2 linked regions of the Sus scrofa genome follow. The protein of the gene in region 2 purifies or fractionates together with the protein of the main gene of each other region. This does not show direct contact. Links are inferred from orthologs where the notes say so. Each region holds a gene or a part of one and is shown on either strand. Other genes may lie near its edges.

Evidence for each region. Proteins that work in one complex are often made in the same cells at the same time.
Region 1: the proteins of CD84 (region 2) and SH2D1B purify together in Homo sapiens (affinity purification with western blotting; 3 studies listed by BioGRID and IntAct, with this or other methods). This does not show direct contact. The link is inferred for Sus scrofa from reciprocal best matches to the Homo sapiens genes CD84 and SH2D1B.

What each region holds. Positions count from the first base shown.
Region 1 is NC_010446.5:88,096,269-88,100,404, reverse strand, and holds the start of SH2D1B (SH2 domain-containing protein 1B), read right to left. Parts: upstream 2,872-4,136; 5' UTR 2,688-2,871; coding exon 2,554-2,687; intron 1-2,553. UniProt on the Homo sapiens protein: Cytoplasmic adapter regulating receptors of the signaling lymphocytic activation molecule (SLAM) family such as CD84, SLAMF1, LY9 and CD244. In SLAM signaling seems to cooperate with SH2D1A/SAP.
Region 2 is NC_010446.5:89,952,619-89,956,265, reverse strand, and holds part of CD84 (SLAM family member 5), read right to left. Parts: intron 1,069-3,647; coding exon 817-1,068; intron 414-816; coding exon 294-413; coding exon of another isoform or gene 221-293; intron 1-220. UniProt on the Homo sapiens protein: Self-ligand receptor of the signaling lymphocytic activation molecule (SLAM) family.

The sequences.
Region 1 (4,136 bases), about 1.9 Mb from region 2:
AGCAACCTAAATGTCCATTGACAAATGAATGGATTAAGAAGATGTGGTACATATAGACGATGGAATACTACTTGGCCATAAAAAAAAATAATGCCATTTGCAGCAACATGTATGGAACTAGAGATTCTCATACTAAGTGAAGAAGTCAGAAAGAAAGACAAGTATCATATGATATCACTTATATGTGGAATCTAAAATATGGCACAAATGAACTTATCTACGAAACAGAAACAGACTCACAGATATAGAGAACAGACTTGTGCCAAGGCGGGGGTGGGGGGGAGGGAGTGAGATAGACAGGGAGTTTGGGGTTGGTAAATGTAAACTATTACATTTAGAATGGATAAGCAAGGAGGTCCTACTATATATAGCAGGGAACTATATCCAAACTCTTGGGACAGAACATGATGGAAGATAATAGTAGAAAAAGAATGTATGTGTGTGAGTGTGTGTGTGTGTGTGTGTGTGAGTGAGAGAGAGAGAGACTGGGTCACTATGCTGTACAGCAGAAATTGGCACATTATAAATCAACTATACCTTATTAAAAATAAGTAAACTGATAAAAAATATGTCAGGGTAATAAACAATTTTTAATATGCAAAAATTTCAATTATAGAAGCAGATATCCTTATTGAATTTTTCTAAAGTTTTTGCTAGTTTGTTTTTAGTTAAATCTAGACTTTAGAGGTATAAAATAATTTCAACTGCTAATAATAATAATTTCATATTTCCATTTCAATTTTTACATTTATTTTCTTTGATTTTCTAATATCTCCTGGAAAATGTTACATAGTAGGGCTTACAATGAACGTTTTTGTATATTCATGGTTTTAGGGGTTATTCTTCTGGTGATTCATATGGCCTTTGTTTAAGGAAGCATCTATCTAGCTTCATATGGCTAGAAGTGTTTAAGTGTGTGCATGCATGTGCGTGCATGAATGTGTTTAGTTGAGGGTGGATGGTGAATATCTAATATGTTCTAAGAAAATTTGAATGAGCTATGTAGTTTGTAACCTCTGACCTATTAACATGTAATTAAACTAATAATTTTCCTAACATGGAACCATTCTTGATTTCTTGGATTAGACCATGCTTGAGCATAGTGTATTTTCTCCTTTAATGTGTTACTGACTTCTATTTTGTTAGTAATTTACTGAAAATTGATAGTAAATGGGAGTTCCCATTGTGGCTCACCAGTAATTAATCTGACTTGTAACCATGAGGATGGGGGTTCGATTTCTGGCCTCACTCATTGGGTTAAGGATCCATTGTTGCCGTGAGCTATGGTGTAGGTCACAGATGCAGCTCAGATCCTGTGTTGCTATGGTGTAGGCTGGCTGTTGCAGCTCCGATTTGACCCCTAGCCTGGGAACTTCCATATGCCCTGTGTGTAGCCCTTAAAAAAAGACAGTTGATAGCAAATTAAATTGAAATTGGTCTGTAGTTTTCTTTCATGTGTGTGTCTTTTTTTCTTGAAAAAATATTTCTCCCTCCATGCATTGATATTGAAAAAAAAAATAAGTAAAAGGAAGATAAACAACTCAGGCTAAAAACGAGTAAAGCGTATGATCATGCAATTTTCAAAAGAGGAATTAGCAATGTTTAAAAAATATGTGAAAACACTCTCAACATCACTTTTAGCCTGAAAATTCAAACTGCTAGTGCCTTAGGGATGCCTTTTTTATATCTGTATTCCCAGTATCATAAAAAGAAAGAAACATATCACTGCCTATTCTGTTAGTAACGACAGTCGCTTTTGTCCTCAGAGCTTCAGAAGGACAGAAGCACATCCACAGAGACACTTGGGTTTTAATTCCTATACCAGGTAAATAAAAAGTTCAAGGTCCCCACAAGGAGAAGAATCCTTAAAGAAAGTCGATTCCCCCTGATATCTATTCACGATTGCTTTCTAAACTGGGCTAAACACGTTCTTTCAGCAGAGTAGTTCTGATGCTCTGGCTTGGAACCTCCTACTGAACTCAGCCTCCTTGGAAACACCAGATGAATTTTAACACAAGTTGCTTGAGAAATCCCAGGTCTCTCTTTCTTTCCCTACAAACTGGTGGCTTGCCTTGACAGACTACAAGCAGGATAAAAGGGAAGGAGGTAGGCCGAAGTCTTTTACAAATCTAATGGAATTTGAGAATCACCAGGGGAGCCAGCAGAATACATGCAAACACTTGGCTTCTCATTTTAAAATTTTATAAAAGGCACCTAGCCTTTTCCATCCTAAACAGACATTTGGAGGGAAGGACTTTCTTCACACGGCTACCTGCTCTGCCTCCCTGCTCCCCTCCCAGACCTCCTGTAGGCCTTCTCCTTGCCATGTCCCCCATCTCTACTGCTCCACAGAGCCTGCTCATGTGGCATTTGCACCCAGGAGAGAAGGGCAGGTGGAGGAGCCTAGACAGACCCATTTATCCCATCCCCTTCTGGCAGCGTCTAGCTAGTTCTCATGCTGCAAAGTCAGTGAAGGACAACTTCTTTCCTCCTTGGTGATCGGTCCTGCATTCAACATAAGGTTCCAAAAATGTGGATGAAGAGGTTACTCACGAGACACAGAGGCACAGGACTCCTGCCATGGACTCGCTGTCCCTTAACAGATAATTGCCATCCTCCCCTCCCTTGAGCAGCAAGGTCTCACAGTCTCTCTTGGACAGAGGGCCGTGGTAGTAAGGCAAATCCATGGGGGACTCTTGTATTCTTGAAATCCCGTCCCAAATCCAGGGATGGCTCTGAGGAGAAAAGTGGAGACAATTGGCCTAATGAGGCCTGTGGAAACACCTCGTGCTCCTCTGGCTGGTGGCAGTCAGATAAGTTTGCTCTGTGGGACTCAGATAATTTCACAAGATTCAGGAAATGACAGAGGTGGGGTGGTGAAATGGCCAAAACTTTTCTGCCTATAAGTGACCCAAGTGTGACTCATAGAAGTGGGTGAAACTACATTTGAATATATAGTGTAATCAGTGATGTTCATGGCTCAAGCCCAGTGCCAAAAACAAATTCTCCAGAACTGGGTAGTAGCCTTGGATATCATCCTAAATCACCATTTTTTGACTTTTTCTGGCTTATGGCATCCCTTCCAGGGATCACACCACTGCTTTTGCTGCAATGGTTGGGCTTTTTCTGCTGAAGCTGCCAGTGATTATGCTGTGCTTACCTCAGAGCAGGTGCTCAAAAAGTATTCAGGGGGAGTTCCCGTCGTGGCGCAGTGGTTAACGAATCCGACTAGGAACCATGAGGTTGCGGGTTCGGTCCCTGCCCTTGCTCAGGTCGCAGACGCGGCTCAGATCCTGCGTTGCTGTGGCTCTGGTGTAGGCTGGCAGCTACAGCTCCGATTAGACCCCTAGCCCGGGAACCTCCATATGCCACAAGAGCGGCCCAAGAAATGGCAAAAAAAAGACAAAAAAAAAAAAAAGTATTCAGACACTGAATAAATTCAGGTATGTCCAGGCATAATGGTACTATTGAGAAGGTAGGACACCCATGCATCAAATGACGTGAAAAATGGAAGACCACAATGGGAATAAAAGAATTTGGACACTGCGAGGGAATCTAGTCAGGGGGAGGATCCCTTGGCTAAGGCTCCTAGCTACTGGTGAACAAAGGTCTCTTTTTTTTTCTTTTCTTTCTTTCTTTTTTTTTTTTTTTTTTCTTTTGCTTTTTAGGATTGTGCCTGCTGCATGTGGAAGTTCTCGGGCTAGGGGTCAAATCGGAGCTGCAGCTACTGCAGGATCTGAGCCATGTCTGTGACCTACACTACAGCTCACAGCAATGCCAGATCCTTAACCCACTAAGCAAGGCCAAGGATTGAACCCTCATACTCATGGATACTAGCTGGGTTCATAATCCTCTGAGCCACAATGGGAACTCTCAACAAAGGCCATTTTTAACATCCTCTAGCATTGTGCATTTTGGGGAAGGAGCTGGAGCAGGTGGGAGGGGCATCTGGATATGCAAAATTAGTGCAAGAATGCTTCTTCAGGTGGAAGAAAAGAGTATATTAGGCTTGGGTTTGAATAGCCTCAGGTCCTTTGAATTTTCCATCCTGTGAGACAGCAGTGATGTGTATTTATGAAGAAAGTCTATCCGGTTAGGAACACTTAGCCTGTGTAGATGCGAAACCTGGCATGGGT
Region 2 (3,647 bases):
ACAGGGCCAGGGATCAAACCTGCATCATCTGGGAGAACACGTCAGGTCTTTAACCTGCTGAGCCACAGGAGGAAATCCCCCAGCAATAGATTTTGAAGACCATTCAGTGTAACATTATACAGACCCCAGGGCCATCTCTCTGGGAGATGGTGAGGTGGTGCGGTGGGGACTGTTAGGAAGGCTGATTCCCTGAAACAAAGGACATTTCCAGCCCACCCACCTTGGATAAATGACTTCAGTCCCAGGAAGAAGGAAGGTGCCTTTCCACTTTTTACCTTCTGAGAAGATCCTACCTTGTCCTCTCTTGTACATAAGACACAAAATCACTGAAGGTATGATGATTATAAACACAGAGAGCACAGCCAGCCCACTCAGCAGCCCAGGGTGGCGAGTCTGGAGGCCCACTGCGATGTCTGGAAATAGAAGATGCAATGAAATGTGACTCACAGGGAAGAGGCCCATGAGGCTGGGCAAGCTTGTCCACACTCAGGGTCACTATCCATACTGGGTGCCCTCCAGGGGTGTGCCAATACACCGAGGAAATTGTGCTTTCTGCTCTTAAAAATAAGATCAGAAACCGAATCAGGGAGTCGAGCAGGGGGCTGCCTTAGAACACCCTGGAATGCCTGGCATTACCCAGAAGGCTTTGAACTCTTTTCCAGAGCTTTCAGGAGGAGAAGCCCTCCCACCCCCACCCCGGGTTCAAGCCTGGCATAAGGGAGACACCTTCCTCTGGAGAACAAGGCCCAGATTCAAGCCTTGCAGTGGGTCAGGGTGATTTCTGAGGCTCTGGGAGAGATGGACACAGCTGGTTACCTGCACAGAGCTGCTGGGCAGAGATGGAGTCAGAATTGTTGCTGACAGGGTTCCAGGCTGTACATGTGTAAGTCAGGTGTTGGTTGTCAGGGGTCTGGAAGATTTGAAGGACATTGCCCTCTCTGCCCAGGTGACTCCAACTGTATGTCACATTCTTTTCTTCTTTCTCCACAGAGCATGTCAGTGTGACATTACAGGTGCCATTCATAGATGTCATTAAACTCCGAGTAATTTTTGGCTTCCCAAGCCGACCTGTGAGGGGAACATACATGGACAAGGGGTAAGCTAAAGCTGGAGCTGGCCTGTAACCACGTGTGGAAAATTTTCATGATGTTGTGAAAAACTTACAATGAAATAAAGTATATTAAAACACAATGGCAATAGAGACTCAAAACTAATCATTTTCTAATTTGGGGGGACACTTTACTATTGTCTGTGCTCTAGAGGTTATTTCTGTCTACTGTGTACATCCTTTGTAATGATGTACAAAGTCTTTCCAACACTGTGGGTCTTAAAATCGGCCAGGGTGGGAGTATTTACACCAGAGAAATTGGCAAATGCAACAAACTAGGGCATGATTTACTGCTTAGTTTCTGCTCCAGACTTAAGAAAACAGTGGAGGAGGTCAGTCACGGGGCTCTTGACCACGAGAAGGGGTGGGGCTCGGGTGCAGGGACCGTGACGTGGAGGGGAAGGACTTGGGTCCTGGTTTGTTTGGCTGACTGCGCCCACTTGCGGAAATGGCACCACGGCCACGTGGGCGCGTCGCGTCGCTGATGGTGGGCGGGTCGCTGATGGTGGGCGGGTCGCTGATCGTGGGCGGTGTAGACTTCACAGGACCGCAGCTCTACAGCGTGCACCCCCATGGGTCCTACAGCTGTCTGCCCTTCATGGCCCTAGGCTCGGGCCAAGATGCGCCCTGGCAGTGCTAGATTGGTTCCAGCCGAACATGACGGTGAGCGACACCTGTCCCCCACTCCGCAGTGCATTGGTGGGAAGCTGGAGAGCTGAGGAAACGCAGAGATACCCTGGCCTAATCAGGAGGTCAGGAAAAGCATTTTGGAGGTGATGACTGAGTGCAGAAGGAGGAGCCAGTGGGGTGAGGGTGGAGAAGTGCAATTCCAACAGACCACTGTCAATGCCAAAGCTTGGACTGCATGGAGAGGTCAAAACTCAGAGAGGACCATTTGGAGCTAAGGGAGGAGAGAACAACAGATCCAGCCAGTATCGCTTTGCCCCTGGGACCACAGCTGTCCTGTCCCAGACAGTGATGCCGCTGACCCTGGAGCTGGTGGAAGAAAGTGTGCAGGCCATGGATGTGGAGTGAAATAGGCCTACGTTTACTTGGAACAAGGAACAAGGAGGAATAAACCCAGAAAACACCACCACCACCACCACCAACAACAACAAAAAAGAAAACAGTGGAGGAAAGGGTACTAAAGCAGATTAAACTAAACAGTGCATCCTGTCTGTAGCCATTACATTGGGACTAGCACACAGAAAAATCAGAAATATTCTTCCAGTGTTTGAAAATCATTATCCAGTTCAGCAAAGGAGTTGCTCACATCATGGATGAAGAAATGAAATTCCAATATACATATCTTCATTGAATCACTTTTTTCTAATTAGTGAACTTAAATGAAAATGTTAATCAATATTCACATTGGTTGCATTTATCCATTCCTTATGTTGGTTCATTCATCAGTCGTAACCATACACTGGCTAGGGACATAAATGCTCAGCAAAAACCAGTGAAAGCATTCAGTCAGAACAGTTGGCTCATTCTGTGAGAACAAATGGAATTTACAATAAAGACTATTGTTTATTATCACTTGTGCAATTGTGTGCCACATCATCTTTATGTCAATAAAATTTATAATGTGTACACATGCGCACACACATCATTAAGAACTAGTTGAGGAGTTCCTGCTGTGGTACAGTGGGTTAAGAATCCGACTGCAGCAGCCTGCGTCGAGGTGGAGGTGAGGGTCTGAACCCCAGCCCAGTGCAGTGGGTTAAAGGATCCAGAGTTGCTGCAGCTATGGCGTAGGTGACTGTGACTCGGATTCAGTGCCTGACTCGGGAACTTCCATGTGCTTTGGGTGCAGCCATAAAGTTAAACAAAACAAAACAAAAAACCCCCAAAAAACCAGTTGAACAGTTGAACATTTATCAGCATATTACTGCAATGAACAATCTTTAAACCTTTTTGAGGGGCTCTGTTTTCTAGTGAATGTGTCTTTTCTTTAAGTTTTCTGGCTTGTTTTGTGTTAACGTGCTCAAGGTGAAAAGTTAAAACCTCTTTAAAAGTTTATTTTTTTAAATTAAAAAAAATTAAAAAATTTTTTTTAGGGCCGCACTTGAGGCATATGGAGGTTCCCAGGCTAGGGGTCAAACCAGAGCTATAGCTGCCAGCCTACACCAGAGCCACAGCAATGCCAGATCTGAGCTGCGTCTGTGACCTACACCACAGCTCACAGCAACACCAGATCCTTAATCAACTGAGCGCAGCCAGGGATGGAACCTGCAACCTCATGGTTCCTAGTCCGATTTGTTTCCTCTGCGCCATGACGGGAACTCCCTAAAGGTTTACTTTAAAAAATATTTTTACTAAAGCAATCAAAATGTAAACTATAGAAGTTGTAGGTAGTAAAATTTACCAAAAAACAATTATATATAAGTTGAGGGAATAGCTAGATCTGAAGCTGGAGAAGGAAAGATTTTTACCAGGAGATAGGAAAAGAACCACCTTCCGAGTTAAGTTTAGTTCACTCTTGGCAAAGCTGCTGTGACATGGTTTGTTCCTCCCACTATTGCTCTGTGAGGGAGGG